4 linked regions of the Caenorhabditis elegans genome follow. The protein of the gene in region 2 interacts with the protein of the main gene of each other region in a pairwise test. Each region holds a gene or a part of one and is shown on either strand. Other genes may lie near its edges.

Evidence for each region.
Region 1: the proteins of gba-2 (region 2) and pud-1.2 interact in a two-hybrid assay, tested with the Caenorhabditis elegans proteins (one large-scale study listed by BioGRID).
Region 3: the proteins of gba-2 (region 2) and athp-3 interact in a two-hybrid assay, tested with the Caenorhabditis elegans proteins (one large-scale study listed by BioGRID).
Region 4: the proteins of gba-2 (region 2) and Y45G5AM.9 interact in a two-hybrid assay, tested with the Caenorhabditis elegans proteins (one large-scale study listed by BioGRID).

The regions. Positions count from the first base shown.
Region 1 is NC_003283.11:2,321,510-2,324,113, forward strand, and holds pud-1.2 (Up-regulated in Daf-2 domain-containing protein), read right to left. Parts: upstream 1,058-2,604; 5' UTR 1,031-1,057; coding exon 775-1,030; intron 729-774; coding exon 529-728; downstream 1-528. Other genes in the region: pud-2.2 (Up-regulated in Daf-2 domain-containing protein), read left to right, coding at 1,505-1,757, 1,804-2,015.
Region 2 is NC_003280.10:2,181,968-2,188,339, forward strand, and holds gba-2 (Putative glucosylceramidase 2), read right to left. Parts: upstream 4,468-6,372; 5' UTR 4,455-4,467; coding exon 4,415-4,454; intron 3,803-4,414; coding exon 3,599-3,802; intron 3,549-3,598; coding exon 3,396-3,548; intron 2,997-3,395; coding exon 2,863-2,996; intron 2,821-2,862; coding exon 2,748-2,820; intron 2,422-2,747; coding exon 2,084-2,421; intron 1,816-2,083; coding exon 1,684-1,815; intron 1,584-1,683; coding exon 1,503-1,583; intron 1,456-1,502; coding exon 1,292-1,455; intron 783-1,291; coding exon 551-782; 3' UTR 527-550; downstream 1-526. Other genes in the region: mtq-2 (Methyltransferase HEMK2), read right to left, coding at 5,249-5,578. UniProt on the Caenorhabditis elegans protein: Glucosylceramidase that catalyzes the hydrolysis of glucosylceramides into free ceramides and glucose. C.elegans contain specific sphingoid bases, which are unique or different in structure compared to the sphingoid bases found in other animals.
Region 3 is NC_003282.8:17,045,959-17,050,388, forward strand, and holds athp-3 (Zinc finger PHD-type domain-containing protein), read right to left. Parts: upstream 2,400-4,430; 5' UTR 2,396-2,399; coding exon 2,291-2,395; intron 2,115-2,290; coding exon 1,707-2,114; intron 1,635-1,706; exon of another isoform or gene 1,614-1,634; intron 1,212-1,613; coding exon 1,011-1,211; intron 939-1,010; exon of another isoform or gene 918-938; intron 706-917; exon of another isoform or gene 685-705; intron 672-684; coding exon 525-671; 3' UTR 512-524; downstream 1-511.
Region 4 is NC_003283.11:4,188,495-4,193,070, reverse strand, and holds the start of Y45G5AM.9 (Aftiphilin clathrin-binding box domain-containing protein), read left to right. Parts: upstream 1-1,555; 5' UTR 1,556-1,562; coding exon 1,563-1,787; intron 1,788-2,923; coding exon 2,924-3,055; intron 3,056-3,062; exon of another isoform or gene 3,063-3,206; coding exon of another isoform or gene 3,207-3,369; intron 3,370-4,060; exon of another isoform or gene 4,061-4,173; coding exon of another isoform or gene 4,174-4,288; intron 4,289-4,340; coding exon of another isoform or gene 4,341-4,462; intron 4,463-4,538; coding exon of another isoform or gene 4,539-4,576. Other genes in the region: nhr-114 (Nuclear hormone receptor 114), read right to left, coding at 3,207-3,369, 4,174-4,288, 4,341-4,462, 4,539-4,576.

The sequences.
Region 1 (2,604 bases), on a different chromosome or scaffold from region 2:
ACTATTTTATTCATTGGCTCGATTGAATCAAGTTTGAGACTGATCTGAATACCTGACCTGATTTTGTATTTTTATAAAAATATTTTTCAGCCAAATTAATAGACAATTTTCACTGACAACATTCGTTCAGTAATTTGAAAATATTTAGCCATTCGAAAATATGCACCTGGGTCGGGATAGCTCAGTCGGTTGTGGTGGCCGTTCGCAACCTGGGAGTCACGAGTGCAAGTCCTAGTTCCCATTTGCGCTGTCGTATATTTGTTATATTTGTAAAAAGAAATTGGACATAGTGGAAAGATAGAAAAGTGTATAAAAGGTTGAAACGGTAGATTTCCTAATACAGAAAAAGCTAAAATTCTACAATTACTGTTGATGACAATTATCTAGCTTCAATCAAAAATTAGCTTTGCTTGGAAATAGTTTTGAGAATGAATTTTATTTCAAAAAAAAAAGCTTAAGAAAAGTACTCCTACGAAGAATATCGCTGCTCAAACAGAAACTCAAAGTAACTACAAATAAAACATGAAATCAATATTTAGTGAAAGTGGTAGTCGATTCCCCACTTGGAGAGATGAAGTGAATTTCGGTTGGGAAAACACGGATCGTGGTAGTTTTTCCGTCATCTTCAGCTGTTAGCATATGCTGCTTCCATGATCTCGAGTCACTGATGAATTTCGCATGCTCTATGTAGGATTTCTTTCCGATTTGGTGACCTTTGTTATCCACTTCTGAAATTTCAAGTTCTTTATTCTCAAAAGATAAAACTCCACAAACCAGTTCTCTCCTGAACCATCGTACCATCCACTAGCCAATTGTCAACTCCAGTTGTCAAGAATCCAGTGTTATAGGCGACACTTTTGAAGATTTCCTTGACTTCATCAGGCTGGAACATCACAACATCAGACTTATCCGCATCCCATCCAGTGTATTTATGTGTCACTTGAAACTTGAAGTGACTTCCAGTCTGATTATCAATTGAAACCTTTGCAGTGCGTCTCGTGAGTTGTGGTGGAGTTGGATCAGTCGACATGATCAGTTTTCAGTCAAGAAACGATCTGAATTATCAGTTGATACGGTAACCATTTTAAACTAAACGAGGAGGTGGAGTTATTGATAAGGAATGCAAGTGATCTTCTCTCTTTGACTATTTTTGTGGTTTGATTGTTTGTGAAATTGATAAAGAACATGAAATTGAACAGTTTGCCTGTTAGTTTCATGTAGCATGAACTATGATCATGAAAATTGATCATAAAGTTGTGCTTTCTTTTGGTACACCTTTGGTTTCTTGACGTCAAAACCGCAGACACGTTGCTTGAAAATGACAAAGAACACAAAGTAATGACAGATAAGCATAGACCAAAGGTTTTATATCAGTATTGAAACATTATCTATTGACAAGTAATGTGCTTAACTCCACCCACTTGAACTGCTTTTTAAAGTCAGTTGGAAATACACGAAATCAATCGAAACTCAAGTGAGTCGATTCTCTTCAACGTTTCAAGAAATGGCAAGCGACGAACCATCAGGTGTGACAGAACAATGGGCCAAAGTGGATATTGAGAACAAAAGTGACCATGTGTTCAAGTTCCAAGTGCTTCATCAGTATACCGGCAATGCATTGGAAGCTTCAAAATGGGTGAAATTGGAGCCAAACCAAAGTGCCCAAATTCTGGAGAAAGTTCACTACAACACTGGACCATTTACAACTGGTACTGATAATTGGAAGGTTCATGGAATCAAACAGATTGAGACAAACTGTAAGTTAACTTATATTTTGATAGTTTTGAAGGAATTAATTTACAGTAGACGATAAGAATGGAGTGGTTGATGGAAAGGTTCGTATTCTCGGTGAAGCTTGGCGTAGTGGACATCCAGATGGGGCTGATTGGAAAAAACACACTTTGAGAGTAGAAGACCATGCCCAAACTACAGTAATCAAGGTTCTCGAGAAAGAAGTTCAATTTGTATCCAAGAGTGGAACATCGACTACTGACTTCTATAGACATGATGTTTAAATTTTCAGTCAATAATTCTTATCAATAGATTTTCTTTAAAAGTTTCAATAAATTTATTGTAATTTATCTAATATAATTTTTCATGCGTACCAATCAAACTTGAATTCTAAACCCTGAGCTCAAAAACAGTCCACTAGAAGTGATTTACACTTTCTGAAGTTTTCTGAGCGGGCCCTATAAAATAAAATACATTTTTGAAGAACATCATATCGAATCAGGAATTCTATTCCTTACCAGAGTGCCTACCGGTGCCTACACCTAATACGTAGTAGAGACATTAACCGTGTGAGACGTTTTACATTATGTACGCAAGTAAGTAATACAAATATGATTTTTAAAAAACGTATTGCGTTTGGAAATATATCGGCCTATTTGTGCTCAGAGACAACTTAATGTATTGAGGCAGATTGTTATGTATTGAGGCAGAACGAGGAGGCGAAGACGAGTAGTTTATTATTACATTAAACTAAGGAATAAATAAGCTAGTTCATAGAGTTCACGTTGTACGATCTTTTTAGCCACGTCGTGGGTCAATACACGTTGATACCCAACAATTTTGGTGTTACTGTAGGTGACTTCTTTGGTAAAT
Region 2 (6,372 bases):
CCCCATATTGACATGTTTTGAAGCAGTTTGAAATTTTGGTGGTTTTTGGGACGCGGCGCGGTCGCGTCGCGGTCCAGACTAAAAAGTCGCTAGATAAAAAGTTTTCCACGTTTTTAGAGGATGTCTGTTCGAATAATTTAAGTTTCAAGCTATTTTGCATCACTTTGACACCTGCAATGCTATGATTTGAGGCAATATAAAACTTAAATTTTTGAAAGCGGCGCGGTCGCGTCGCGGTCGAAAATCGAAAACTCATCTTACCTATAGTTTTAAACTTTTTTATGCATGTTTTCGAATTTTTCTAAAAATTTCCATCCATTTAACACCCATATTGGCATGTATTAAACAATTTTTAAATTTTAGTAGTTTTGGACCGCGATGCGACCGCGCCGCGGGGCTCAAATTTCAAAGTGAACCGATTCTAGTCGATATGGGGCTTAAAATTTCAGAAATTGAATGAATAATTCAAATTTTTACACTAAAAGTTCAGGTTTCAACACGATTTTTTAAATTTTTCAAAAATAAAATTTTAAAAAATTGATATTTTATTCTAATTTTGAATATACAACGTAACAATTGTTTTAGGTGATAAATGAACTTGATAATGATCAGTAGACTTCATAGTATCCTTAATTGATAAACTATATGGTGCCAAAGGATTTTTATTATGGAGCACCACGACTTTTGAGCCATCCGGATTCAAAAATGCACTTCGTTCAATTTCTGGGTTTGGCATGTTCAGTGAATGGTCGATTCGAACTGCTCCGGGCTTCAGAAAATGACTGAAAATTGGAAAATGTGTTGGGAAATTGACGGAGAAAAATTTTTTAAAAAAATTTTTGGAATTTTTTTTTTTCGAAATTTTTTTTCCCTAAAATTTTTTTTTTCGAGTTTCTTTTCCATTTCCCATTATTTTTTAACATACGTTTTCCCTGATATTTCAGCTCAAAATTCGGAAAACCGCGTCAAATTCGATGTTTTGGGGGTACTGTAGTCGGTGTTTGCGTATTTTTGGAGCTACAGTAACCCACTAAAATTCAGAATTGAGCTAGAAACTTCTAGTTTTTGAGTTTTAAGCTGAAATTTGACGAGGAATTTGAATTTCTCTATGAAAACTAAAATAAAATGAGATTTAAGCTAATTTTCGGACATTTTCAGACAATTTTCAGCTATAAATTGGAATTTTCAAAATATCTCCCATAAAATTTCAAATTTCAGATTTTCTAGACCCAATTTTAACGGAAAATTCAAATATTTCAGTAATTTTTCGCAAAAACCTATAGAAACCTACCTAAAATGTGCAATTGCATAAAACATGGGCTGCTTGTAGAATTGAGCCAATGCGGGGAACGCAATGACCGGAGCATCCGCGAATCCCGAAACCCAGGACGGTCCACCTTGAGCATCTAGCACCAGGTTACGCTCCGTCCATCCGGTAACCCAATTATTGAAATCCTGTGAGATAAAAATCGATAATTTATTGCTTATTTTATAAAACTAACATCTAAAATGTCCGAAACATAGTCTTCTGCTCGATCGAAGCTACCATAATCCACATCCTTCGATTTAGACCCCTCGCTTGCCTGAAAAATCAATAAATTGGTATCACTTGGAAATTCGTTCCGCAAAAACTTTTGCTCTATTTTATCATACAAAAAAGTCGTGGTGAGACCCAAAACCCACCTCTGTACCAAAAATGAACACATCTGGGTGGTTATTGTGGGTTTGTGTAAGATGTTTGTCACTTTCGTCGTCCTGGTAAGAGTGTACGGCGATTCCGGAGACGTAACTTGCTGCGTCCTTGTCATTGAGAACCTGGAAAATTTAAATTTTGAAACTTTTTCGATGATTTCATTGTCAAATTCGAATTCCCCATAATTTATTTAGTCTAGCCACAAATTTTCAGTTCAAAATTCGCTCGGATTTCGCCAGAAATCAGCCTTTCAGAAAATCTGACCGCGACGCGACCGCAACGCGACCGCAACGCAAGTCCAAAATTTCAAACTGCTCAGAAATAGGTCAATATGGGGTTCAAAACTTTGCAAATTTTACGGAGATTTCAAATTTCAACACTACAACTCACAGTGTCTGCCCATTTTGGCAAGTTTCCACGATTATCGTCCAAAATCAGAATTTTCACATTTTTTCCAGCATTCGAAGATTTCAGCGCTGGTCCAATGTCAAGCTTAATAAAATCTCTTTGAAATTCCGCCGTGAATCCCATTGATTGCATTTTAGTCTTCTTATCACTTCCGCTAGTTGGCTCATTTTGAGTTGACAAGCCCCAGAAGAGAATCCCATTTTTCTGATATTCTTCCAAGAAATGTAAGATATAAGTGACGTAGGATTTGTGGTAGGTGTCTTGATTGGTGCCTAGTAGGATACCGTACCCTTTGGTGGAATTCGTGGTTTTTAGCCAGCCTGGAAGCGGAAATAAATAGATTTCAGGGGGGAGTTCGGTAGAGCGCGTTTGCACTAGCTTGTCGGAATGTATGTCATTCGATAGAAAATGTTACGATCTACAAGTTTGTCTCTTGTGCCAACTTCATAGGACCCCGTTGAAAAAAGTTATGCAGAAAGTTCAATGGAGCGCATATGCGTATTTTGAGATTTAGTGAAAGTGCGCTCCACTGAACTTTTGACATAACTTTACTTAGCGGCGTCCTAGAAAATTGGTTCAAGAGGCAAATTTGTAGATCAAGAAATTTTCTATCAAATGGCATAAAAAACTCTGGAAAATTCCGTACCTGGCGCACTCCACGGCACGGCGAAAAACTTCAAATCGTGGTTGTACTTCTGCGCCATTTGCATATACGGAATCTGAAACTTTCAGTCTTTTTTTGTTAATAGGCCTAATAGTACCTTCCACTGATAGTCTTCCCTTTGCAGGCTAAAATGTGCCATATTGTAGTCTTCAAGGTTATCGTCATAAGTGTAGACACGACTTGAAAAGTCATTGCTGGCAATTGGAACCCGTCCGAATTGCAGGTTCAGGCCTGAAATAGCAAAGTTAGGTAAAAAGTTCAATGGAGCGCAGTTGCATTTTTATATAAATTTTAATGTTCTACATATTCGCTTCTTGAACCAACGCTCTATTACTACGTTGAGCAAAGTTATAGCCAAATTTCAATGGAGCGCACTTGCAAAACCTCACAGATTTTATTCAAAATTTATGTCAATCGATAGAAAATGTTATGATCTACTATTTTCCAGTTTGCACCAACTTCGTAGCTTTCCGTTGAACAAAGTTACAAGGAATTGAAAATTGGCAAAAAATTTCGATGGTGCAAACGCGCTCCATTGAACTATTGCTATAACTTTCTTCAAATTGGTCCTAGAATGTTGGTTCAAGAGGGAAAGTTGTAGAGATTTGAATTTTCTATCGAATAACTTACCAGAATCCGAAAAATACTGTCTCAGAATTGTATCAGCCATCTGATCGGGTAAGCTCTTCAAATTCGCACCAGAAGCATCGGAAAACGTTGAGCCAAATCCTTGGATTGTCTGATATGTTTTTGACGAGTCAATTGTGAAGTGCATGCTGGTTACTGTAGTTTTTGAGATTACGGTAAAAATTTTCAAAAAAAAAGTTGCTTACAAGGGTCACTATTTGTCGCATAAACCACATCCCGATGCAGTCGGGCTCCGGATTTGGAAGTTGTGAATGTGGCAGCCTGCCCGGATAGTAAGTTGATATCTGGGATCTCATCGCAATAAGTTATGTTGCAGACACACACAATTCCGGTTTTGAAGGTTTTTTGGGCGCAATCATTGGCGAGTGCCACCTGGAGGGAGGCGAGGGCTGAAAAATTTGAATTTTTCGTTGAAAAATTCGAATTAGTCATGAAATTTTCTGAGTTTTGACACCCATATTGACTATATTTGGACAAAATCGAAGAATTATAGGATTTTGGGGTGCGCTGCGGTCGCGTCGCGGCTCAAATATGGGAATTTTCAAAATGGAGCTAGAGTGGTCTAGTTTTTTGTATTAATATTAAAATTTTGAGTTGAATTGGCTTTCGAATTGAGTGCTGAAAAAATTGTTTAATATTGTTTTCAAAAATTTTTAAAGATAAATTAAAGAAAAGTTTTTTTTTTGGAAAAACGGTATATCGTAACTTTTTTAGGTAATAAAAATCAAGTTCCTGGTGAAATTTGCTGAGTTTTGACACCCATATCGACTATATTCGGATGAAATCCAAGAATTTTAGGATTTTGGGGTGCGTTGCGGTCGTGTCGCGGTTCAAATACTAAAATCTTCAAAATGGACCTAGAGAGGTCTAGTTTTTTGTGTTTAGCTAGAAATGAAGTGGAAAATTAAATTTTTTAGTGGACATTTAAGAAAAAAATAGAAAACATTCTAAATTTTTTTGGAAAATTTTTTTTTTTTAAGTTTATAAAATCAAAAACTCACCAAAAAGCCCTAAAACAAAGCAACTCCAGGCTATAGACATTATGTGTAGACTACTCCTCCTTTCTCATTTTCAACTTAAATACTCGTATACTGATAAGCTAGAAATCAGTTCAATTTGTACTGATGAAGTCATTTTCTTATCAGTAGCCTGTGATTCTAGCCAGCTACTGACTTTTTGGTCACTTTCCACACAAAATCGCACAAAAATGTGTGTGCTTCTTGTGCTTTTCTGTGGCCTGGAAGTCACAAGTGACTAGAAACTGACTGAAAACTCAAGTCAGAAGATGATTTCACATTTGAAAATTTATTTGAAATTAGGAACAATCACATTCGAGCTATTGAGAAGATTTGGAAAATGTGGCAAAAAGTTTTTAAGCAGATCAGAATTTTTTTAGTTTTTTAAAACTGTCTAAAAATGATCTGAATCGCAAAATTTTAGATTTTCACCGTAAAATTCGAATTCCTTGCAAAATTTCAGCCTGAAACTCGAAAACTAGAGCTCTCTAGCTCAATTTTGGAGTTTCCCGGGTTACTGTAGCCCCGGAAGTACGCAAACACCGACTACAGTACCCCCAAACACACGATTTTACGCGATTTTCGAATTTTAAGCTAAAAATTTATGGAGAGACTAATTGAATAGTGGAGAATTCGAATTCGTCAATAAAAAGGTTTTTGTGGTGCGTTGCGGTCGCGTCGCGGCCTTGCAGTGGTCATTTTCAAATTATCGCTAGAAACGTCTAGTTTTCTCGAATACAAACTGAAATTATGCAGTGGTTTCAGATTTTTTATTGAAGTTCCGTGAATTTTATCGAAAATCCAAGAAAAACAACAAATTTATTCAATTTCCGCAAGTGGCGCCGCTTTAACATTATTCTCCTTCATCACAAATTTCAAAATATACAAATGTTCGATGCCGCAACGGCGCTCCATTGACACTGACACCGTCATTTGCTCCGAGTGCTCTTTGAGCAGTGCCGGGATATCGTTCGAGTGAAGTGCGACGAGATAGAAGACACCACGTGGGGACAGAAGCTCGGGGACACGTGGCAAAAGACGATCGAGCGTTGATCTACCGGTTCGGCCGCCAGCGTAGGTCAATTCGATGTTTGATTTGGGCTCTTCGTCAGTAGGGACGTACGGTGGGTTGAAGAGGAGCACGTCTACCTGGAAAATAAAAATTTGGAAAAAAAAGAAAATTTTCGTCGCTAAAACTCAGAAAACCTAAATTTTCATCGGCAAAATCGAAATCCCTGCGAAAAATCAGTGAGAAAATCGAAAACTAGAGGTTTGTAGCTTAAATTTGAAGATTTTCGAGTTTCGAGCCGCGACGCGACCGCAACGCACGTTAAAAAGCCAAAACCCTGGGTTTTTGACCGAATCTAGTCGATATGGGTGTCAAAACTTTGGGAATTTTGTGGAGAGTTCAAAAATTTACATAAAAACACGAGAAATATCACGGAAATTGTGTTACCGGGAGACATTTTCTATAAATTCTGAGATTTCTTTTTTTTATAATTCCATTAGAAATTTGAATTCTCCATTAAATTCTAAATAAGTTGCAAAAAAACTAGACTTTTCTAGCGTTATTTTAAACATTTTCGAGTTTCGAGCCGCGACGCGACCGCAGCGCGTGTCAAAATTACTTGATAATTTCTGAATTTGAATTGTAAATTCGAATTCCTCTTAAAATTTCAGTCAGAAACTCGAGAACTAGAGCTTCCCAGCTCAATTTTTAAATTTTGAGGGTTACTGTAGCGTCAAAAGTACGCAAACACCAGCTACAGTACCCCAAAACACTCGATTTTACGCAATTTTCGGATTTTGGGCTGAAAATTGAGGTTTAGACTAAGAAAATAGCGGTGAATTCGAATTTGATAATGAAAATTCTGATAAAAAATTGTGGACACCAGTTTTCGAGGAATTTTCTTCAAAAGCCTTCGACTTTTATGATTTTTTTT
Region 3 (4,430 bases), on a different chromosome or scaffold from region 2:
AAATTTACGAAAAATATACTGTTTCATAATATTGATAAATTTTCAAGCATATCAAACGAGCTGATCAAACACGCTGATTTCGTGGAGGATTTGCAATTCCAGATTTGAAAGCATCACATAAGCGGCTGACATGTCACGGGTATAGCCACGGACATCTCACTGGCATTGTTGGCTCATGACGAATAGGCATAGCAACCGACATCTAGCGGATTTAAGCATCCGACAATTAATGGGTGTAGATGGCTGATATTTATGACATCGAAGAAATGAACAGCTAACCTATACAGCGACTGATCTCTTACAGGTAGGTGTAACCGACATCTCATAGGTACATAAAACCAACATTTAACGGGTAGAGGCAGCCGTCATTCAATGACCATAGCTGCCGACATTTTACAGATTTTTTACTGTTTCAGAATGGTCATTCAAGTTTTATAAATTGAAAAACAAATAATGGATTTATTCGATTTTTTATTAATTTTTAAAAATCTACAAACAAAAATAAAACATGTGTCCAATTATTTTCAGCATGTACAATTTTTGCACTGAAACTGCGAATTCCACTGTTTGCTCCGGATTCCAGTACACTTCAAATGTACCCATTTTTGACATTTTGTGCACAGACAGGTGCCGTTCTTGCTTGCCAGAGTGCAGATTGGGCAGACATGGACCTGAAAGTTAGGACAGTTTCGAAATAAAGAACTAATAAATTTTAATTTTTTTGACACTTTGTTTATTCGGTAATGAAGCAGAATTAATTTGAACTCTTTCATTTTTTCTGTAAATTATATTTTAAGTTTTGCAAGAACCTAGGCAGGTACGTAGGCATCTAAAATATTAAGATTTCAAAAAAAAAAATCAAAATTTCAGAATTCAAAAACTATCAGTTTTGAAATGATAAATATGTGGTAATTTTTGTTTTTTTTGATTGAAGTTTATTGAAACCTTAAAAAAACTGGAAACTTTACTACTTCCGTGAAACATTATTCAATTTTTTTTGAAACACTAACCTGTTTAGTATCCTTTTTCTGATTAATCTCCGGCTCCATATTCTTTGCGATTTTCAGAGGCCTTCCTCTTTTCCTTGGTGGCTGCTTCTGGAGCTTCTTGACTACCTCCCGGCTCCTTTCTGCTGCTCCACATGGTCTTCCACGATTCTTTGGCTCACCTTTCACAGCTTCCTGTTGAATCAGAGCCTTTTCCTCCGAGTTCTGAATTTAAAAAACTCTAGAAATTAAATATTAAAAATTTTAAATTTAAAAATTCTAGAAATTCTAAAATCCTACATTTTTAGTAGTCTAATTTTCCAAATTTAATTAAGTTTTTTTATTGCGAAAAGTTTCAGAATTCCAAAGCATTTTTTTTCAATTTTCAAGAATTGAAGAATTTTTGCAACTTCTAGAAAATTTTTTAATTCAAAAAATTAAGCTAAAAAATTAGGCCTGAAAAAATTCTAAAAATAAAAAATACAAAATATTCTCTGGCAATGAAAGTGTCGAACAATGGTTTTTTTCTGAGAAATCAAATTTTTTTGATAGATTAGGATTTTAAAATATAAATTCAATCCGAAACTCCACTTTTATTTCTTAATTTAATTTAAAAATTTCTAATTTTTTGGTCATGTATCCTTCGAATTGACAATTTCACAAAAGTTGAAAACTTTACTGTTTCAGTGAAACATTATGAAATTTTTTTTAAACACTAACCTGTTTACTTTCCTTTTTCTGATGAAACACCGGCTCAATCTTTTTCGCAATTTTCAGAGGCCGTCCTCTTTTCCTCTGTGGCTGCTTTTGGAGCACTACAGCTACCTCCTGGCTCCATTTCGCTGCTCCAGCTGGTCTTCCACGCTTCTTTGGCTCAAATTTCACAACTACCTTTGGAATCTGCACCTTCTCCTCTGAACTCTGTTTTCTTGGGCGTCCTCTTCCTCTCTTGGCTTCTCCTGCTGGATTCTTTACTGGAACCTTCTTTTGTTTTCTCTGCTTGCTCATTTGAGCCACCACTACAGGATTGAGCAACTCATTAAACTGATTCTTTGATCCTCCAAATATCATCACTCCACAGATGTAGTCCACGTTGTGATGTGGGTTACGGATCAGAGCTTGTACTGCCTGAATTTTAATAAATGCTTGCCTACGTGTCGGCCTGAAGCCTATTTGCTGCCTTTTGATGGAGCTTAAAACCGAGAAATTTTGATTAAATTTGAACAAATTTTCAGCTCAGAACTAGAACAAAAATTCAAAAAGTATTTTAAAGAATTGAGAAAAGTGCTGATTACTTAACTAACCATATCAATTGTGCTCAGGGGATAATCGTCGTCTTCCTCCTCAATTTTGATTTCTTGCTTGACAACCATGTTCTCCTGGTTCTCGATTGCTGATAAGTAGCTCATTTTTCTGAAAATCGATAATTCAGTGGATGAGTAATAGAGAAAATTAAAATAAAATTAACTGAAAATTTATTTGAACAAAAAAAATTAATCTGGGCAGCTGTTTTAGATATTTTTAGGCTACTTTAGTGTTTATAGAACTGATTTCTGCATTATACGAATCGATTAAAAACGTTTGACATTAGAGCTTAAACAGACATTATAAAACAGAAGGAAATTGTGTTACAAAAAAATTTGGGTTAACACTTTTGTAGATATTTTAACTGTCACTAAAAACTGGTAATGAATTAATAAACTCATTTAAAAATGCACGAATTTCTGAGAAATAAGAATGTAACAGAAAAATGTTATTACTAGATTGCTCTCATTTTATCCGCCACTATCAACAAAAACATTAAAAATAATGAAATTGATAATTTTCATGAAACAGTGAAAAATTGGTGACTGATTGGATTACATCTTGAACCTCCACTATAGCAGCTTGGTTCATTTTTGAAATTAAAATTTTTAATGCAAATATGTAGAAAATTAGATAATCAAAACCTTTGCAGTTGAAATTTTTTGATAACCCATAACCAAGATAGATGTAAACTGCCAAAGTTGAACATATTATAGGCTAAAATTTTATCGAATTTCCCTAATAAAAATTGATGAATTCGCTTACTTTTCAAGTGTCATAATAAATTAAGCCTAAACTACTCGGTATTCTTCCGCAGCGTTAGTGCATTAAATTTGATTGTTTTAATGAAACCTATGAAACTGTAAAAAAAAAATTCGATGAACGATGGCTCTACTACCGCCATTATAATTATAAGAATTTAAATAGATTTCATGAAACAGAAAATTTTTGGAGTAAGGAAAATATATTTAGAGACCGTACAAGTAATGTAAAGAGCAAATAAGACAAAAACATCAAAATAGATGGCAGGTCTATAAAAATGATTGTAAGAACAAAAACAGAGGACGCTGTGTTGTTCTATCCTTCGTCTTTGCCAAGAGCAAGTTTTCGTCTGGGAAATCGATATGTCTGGATGAACAGGGACGTCATAGGGTCATTGAAAGGAGGCGATGTATATGTACCAACTTTCGAAAGAGTTGAAAAACCGTTGGAACACCAAGTATGACGTCATAGCCCTGGTACCCAATAAATGATTCAATTTCAATTCAGCATTAAACTTAAGATTTGATTAGACCTGTTTGTTTTTGTTGAATTAATTTTATTAGAAACGTGAAGACGAAAAGACTTCCGGTTTCAGATTTGCTGGCCTGTTTGAGATGAAACGAAATTTCACTGTTTGTGAACTTTAATATTTTTCCCATCTTTTGTTCCAGTTTCATTCCACACCACTTACTGAAAATTTCCGCTCAAAATCATTTCACCCAGATTGAAAAAAAATTGCGCAATTTGCTTCAAACATTGTTGGTTGAAAATAGTTATCACCAAAACGAATGTTTTGAAACAGTGATTTCATAAAATAATTAATTTAGCAATTTTTAAGCGACAATCTAGAAAAAATCTGTTCTATTGTTTTATTATTTCCAATCATTTTAAAATGTTCAGGAGTTAAAAAACCAGATCAAACCAAAAATCAGTTGATCAAATTTTCAATTTCTCTCCAAATTTCCGTACAACAAGACACTTCTAAACTTTTTCCTGATTTTCAGAAAAATTCAGCACTTTCTCTAATTTTCCAGCATTTTGATGTTTAAGTATGTAGATTTTGTTTAGTACTGACAATTAAAGAAATATTGCAATTTGGTTTTACTGTTTCATATTAATAACAAGTATGGGTCTGCTTAAATACTTTATTTAATCAATCCGATGATCTTATTTATAATTTCAATAGATTTATACAATTAATTTGCGAAAAAAATGTAACTGACTGAATTTTTCAACGCAATTTTTTAAAAGCATTCTTCAAAGGCAGTTCCAGAAATTTGTCGGTTTTTCGATTTTTTTATCTGAAATTTTTGGATTCAAGAGTTTTGGAGTTTGTCGGTTAGATGGACTGAATCTATTATGAATCTACGTTTTTAC
Region 4 (4,576 bases), on a different chromosome or scaffold from region 2:
TAGTGTCAGAGTGTCCCATTTCGGCTTGATCTACGTAGATCTACAAAAAATGCGGGAGAGTTCTCAACTGATTTTGCATGGTTAAGAACGTACTGACGTCACACATTTTTCTGGGAGAAAGATTCCCCCGCATTTTTTGTAGATCAAACCGTAATGGGACAGCTTGACACCACGTGTTTTCACCTGAATTACGATGAAATCAATTTTATTTCTGCGTAGGTTGAAAATTAAGATTGATGGCCACTATGGGACACTAGAAGAACCGGTTCCAAGAATTTTTTTTTTCGCCGAAATTGTTTTTTTTTCTTTCACTAGAAATATCGTGTGACCTTTAACAATTTTGATATTTTCTCATAAAATTGTATTATAATTCCTCATTTTTTGGCTGCTAAAACAGAAATTTAGCCAAAAAAAAAAAGAAAAAAAGCGTAAAAGTACGAGTATCTTCAGGCCTTCTGGGACCATTTTTGGCACGAAATGTGAGAATATTTTTTAGAAAAAAGATACACAGATCGTTAGTTTCGAAAAAAATTGCCTTATATCTCCAATTTTCGATTTTTTTTTTCGACTTCTCCGTCTCATAGCAGTGAGAAATTGATTTTTATTCAATTTCGCCGTTTTTTTTTGCAAATTTTTTGTTTTTATGCTACATTTTTTGTTGATTTAAGCACATTTAAAACTGATATATTACGGAAACACTGAATTCTGTGAATGCGTACTGCGCAACATATTTGACGCGCAAAATATCGTGTAGCGAAAACTTCAGTAATCCTTTAAATGACTACTGTAGAGCTGGTGGCGATTATAATTTTTCGAGAATCATTTTTAATCTAAGAAATATTTGAAGAACACAAAAATTAACAAATAATTCCTTGTGTTTTCGTTTAATATTTTATCGATTAAAAATGATTCTCGTAAAATTATAATCGCCATCAGCTCTACAGTAATCATTTAAAGACTTGCTGTAGTTTTCGCTACGAGATATTTTGCGCGTCAAATATGTTGTGCAATACGCAGCATTCTCAGAATTTAGTGTTTCCGTAATATATCAGCTTTAAATGTGCCTAAATCAACAAAAAAAACGTAAGATAAAAATCCAGATTTGCAACAAAAAAAAACACCCATTTTCCATTCTAAATCATCAGCCGATCGATCGATTTTTGCTAAAATCTGGAATTTCGCCATTTTTCCTTGTCGCGGCAACAAGGAAAAAATGGCGAAATTTTTGGATTTTTGGGTGAAATTACTTTTTTCCGGAGTTTTGAATCGGCATTAAAAACATTTTGAGCAATTTTTGAACAGTTTCGTTATGAAATTCGGTGTTTTTGAGTCATTTTTCACGCAATTTTTGTATTTCTATTGAAATTTATGAGGCACCACGTTTTCAAGATCTTTTCAAAAACAAGATCTACGAAAACAAGATCTACATTTTCAAGATCTACGAAAAAAATCCTAAACTAGACGCGAACAGATTTTGAAAACGTGGTGCCTCGAATTTCTTCTCAATATCCCTCTCCCACACCAATTTGCCATCCAAAATCGATTAAATTTCCAGCCGATCGATGGAAATCGATGGGGGTCCACCTCCATTCTGCGGCGTCGCTGTCGACGATTCCTATGACAAAAGTGAGCAGCACGAATACGATGAAGTCGACGATTCGCCCGACTCGACGAGCCTACCGCTTCCATCAGCATCAAGAAGTCGGTCGGTGACTCCTGTGAAGGATATGGCTGCCGGACATGAAGCTGTTCCAGAAGCATCTGATAATAATGAAAAGGGAGATACGGTAAGAAATATATATATATATATATGCTGAAATTAACGATTTCCGTAATGAAACTTCTCGAAAAAATTCAAAAATTTCCTTATAAAACTAGCTAATTTTAGCTTAAAATCTCCAATTTTTCGGGAAAAAAACTTCTAAAATTTTCTTAAAAAACTGGCTAATTTTAGCTTAAAATCTCCAATTTTCTATTTAAAAAAACATTTTTGTACCCAAAATGAAATAAAACAGTGTCAAATTACCGAATATAAATGTTTAAAAATTTATGGAATTTTCCTACATTTATTAAAAATACTTTTTCAGTTTTGCAACAAAAAAATAGGTAGAAAGAGTTGAATTATTTTTTTGTGCAAGTTCCCGCGCAAATGACGTCATTTTCGACATTTTCGATTTTTTACAGAAATTTTTCAGTTAAGAAAATCCTAAAATTGGCCTGAAAATCAATAATTTAACAGTAGAAAAACTTTTTCTTCGGAAAAATTTCCGAAAAAAATTGTGAAATTATGTTTCAAAATGAAAAATTGAAGAAAACCCTATCCGGATTTGCCGGAAATTTTGATTTTTGGCAAATCGCCGGTTTGCCGGAAATTTTCATTTTTGGCAAATTGCCGATTTACCGGAAATTTTGATTTTTGGCAAATTGCCGGTTTGCCGGAAATTTTCATTTTTGGCAAATTGCCGGTTTGCCGGAAATTTTCATTTTCGGTAAATTGCCGGTTTGCCGGAAATTTTGATTTGTGGAAAATTGCCGGTTTTGCCGATTTGCCGGAATTTTTCGTTTTCGGGAAATTGCCGGTTTGCCGGAATTTTTCGTTTTCGGGAAATTGCCGGTTTGCCGGAATTTTTCGTTTTCGGCAAATTGCCGGTGTTCCGATTTGCCGGAAATTTTCAATTCCGGCAATTTCGCCGATTTGCCAGAAAATGTCATTTTCGACAAATTGTCAGTTTGCCGATTTGCCGGAAAAATCGTTTGCCCCCGACCCCTGCTTTGAATTATGAACAAAAACCTTCAATCAACTTTAAAATAGCAATGCAACATTTTGAAATTAAAATTTGCAATCAATTTTTTTTGTCAAAAAATGTTCTAAAAATTGAACTAATTTTGCCAAAAATTTACCCCAAAAATCCCGTAATTTCAGATGACGACTGCATTATCACAGGACGAATTTACGGGATTTCAAAATTCGGAAATACAGAAAGAAGAAGACGATGACGACGATGAGTGGGGAGATTTTGGAGAAGCCGTTGTTGCTGCTGCACCAATTCAGGCGGTAAGAAAAAAAAGTTAAAACTTTATTGCAAAAAAAATACCAAAAAAAAAAAATAATAATAAACGTATATAAATAGGATTAGCATTGAGATTTTTTTTCAAGCGTGTAAATATTTCTGGAAATTAATTTATTAAATTTAAATTTATTCACTTCACAATTTGTGAGCAACAACGCTCGTCGTATCACCGAAAAACAGTTGCCGGGCAAACGCCGAGAAGCCGATATTCTCGAAAAAGTCTGCAATCCACACGGCCTCTTTCGATTCGCACGCCATTTTTGACATGGACGTTCCCATCAGAACCAATCGTGCGAATCTGCAACACGGGGATGAAATTGTGATCTATCAGTGCCGGGGGCTAAAAATTTTGGTAAATTGCCGAACTTTTGGTACATTCTCAAAATTTTAATAAATTGCCAATTTTTTGATAAATTGCCTAAATTTTGGGAAATGTTCAAAATTTTGGTAAATTCTTAAAATTTTGGTAAATTGCCAATTTTTTAATAAATTGCCAAAACTTTTGGAGGCACCACCGAAAGGAGAACATGTGAAAAAGGAGAATTACGAAAAGGAGAACACAAAACCACGCCCATTTTTCCATGCCGCGCGCAAGTTTTTGCAGAAACTTGTGCAAATTTTTATTTTCAAACGAGATAACGCGAAGCTCCGAAAGAACGTATCGCGTGTTGTTTATCACACGAATTCGTTAGTTCGGATCTTCGTTGTCTCGTTTGAAAATAAAAATTTGCACAAGTTTATGCAAAAACTTGCGCTCGGCACGGATAAATAGGCGTGGTTTTGTGTTCTCCTTTTCGTAATTCTCCTTTTTCACATGTTCTCGTTTCCGTGGTGCCTCCCAAAATTGTGAGAATTTTTCCAAAATTTTAGCATTTTACCAAAATGTTGAGAATTTACCAAAATTTTAGCATTTTACCAAAAATTTGAAAATTTAGCAAAATTTAGAGAATTTACCGAAATTTTGGTCAAAGTGTTCCAACTTAGCTTACTTAGCTAGTCCGCAACAAGACACATCAAATTGTGATCTATCAATGTTTGATTTGATCGACAAGCGAGTAATAGATGAATGCATCAAAGGAAGGAAAAACGTGATTTCACCAACCTTTCGATTGCCGTGTCCACGTCGTCTTTCATGGCCATGTAGCCGTATAACTGCTTGGTGATGCGGACTCGTTCGTTGTTCACAAGCTTGCGAGCCGGTAGAGAGATGTCAGCGTCTGGAATCGCATCAAAGTGAAAGTTTGGCTCTTATTGAGATTCCGCCCGGACCTGGATTCAGAAACGTTACCGCTTTGAACGCTGCAAATTCGGTTGCGTCGAGCTGTAGATCACGGAACGGCTTGAGCACGAGATCCAACATTTGATACTTTTTCCTGTTGAGTCCGGCTGGCCTATAACGATTGAACACAACGCGGAACGAGACGGGAATTGGGGCTCGGTTTGGAGTATATGTGACCGACAACTTACCGGGTTGGCTCTGGAGTACGATCGAAGTAGGCACCATC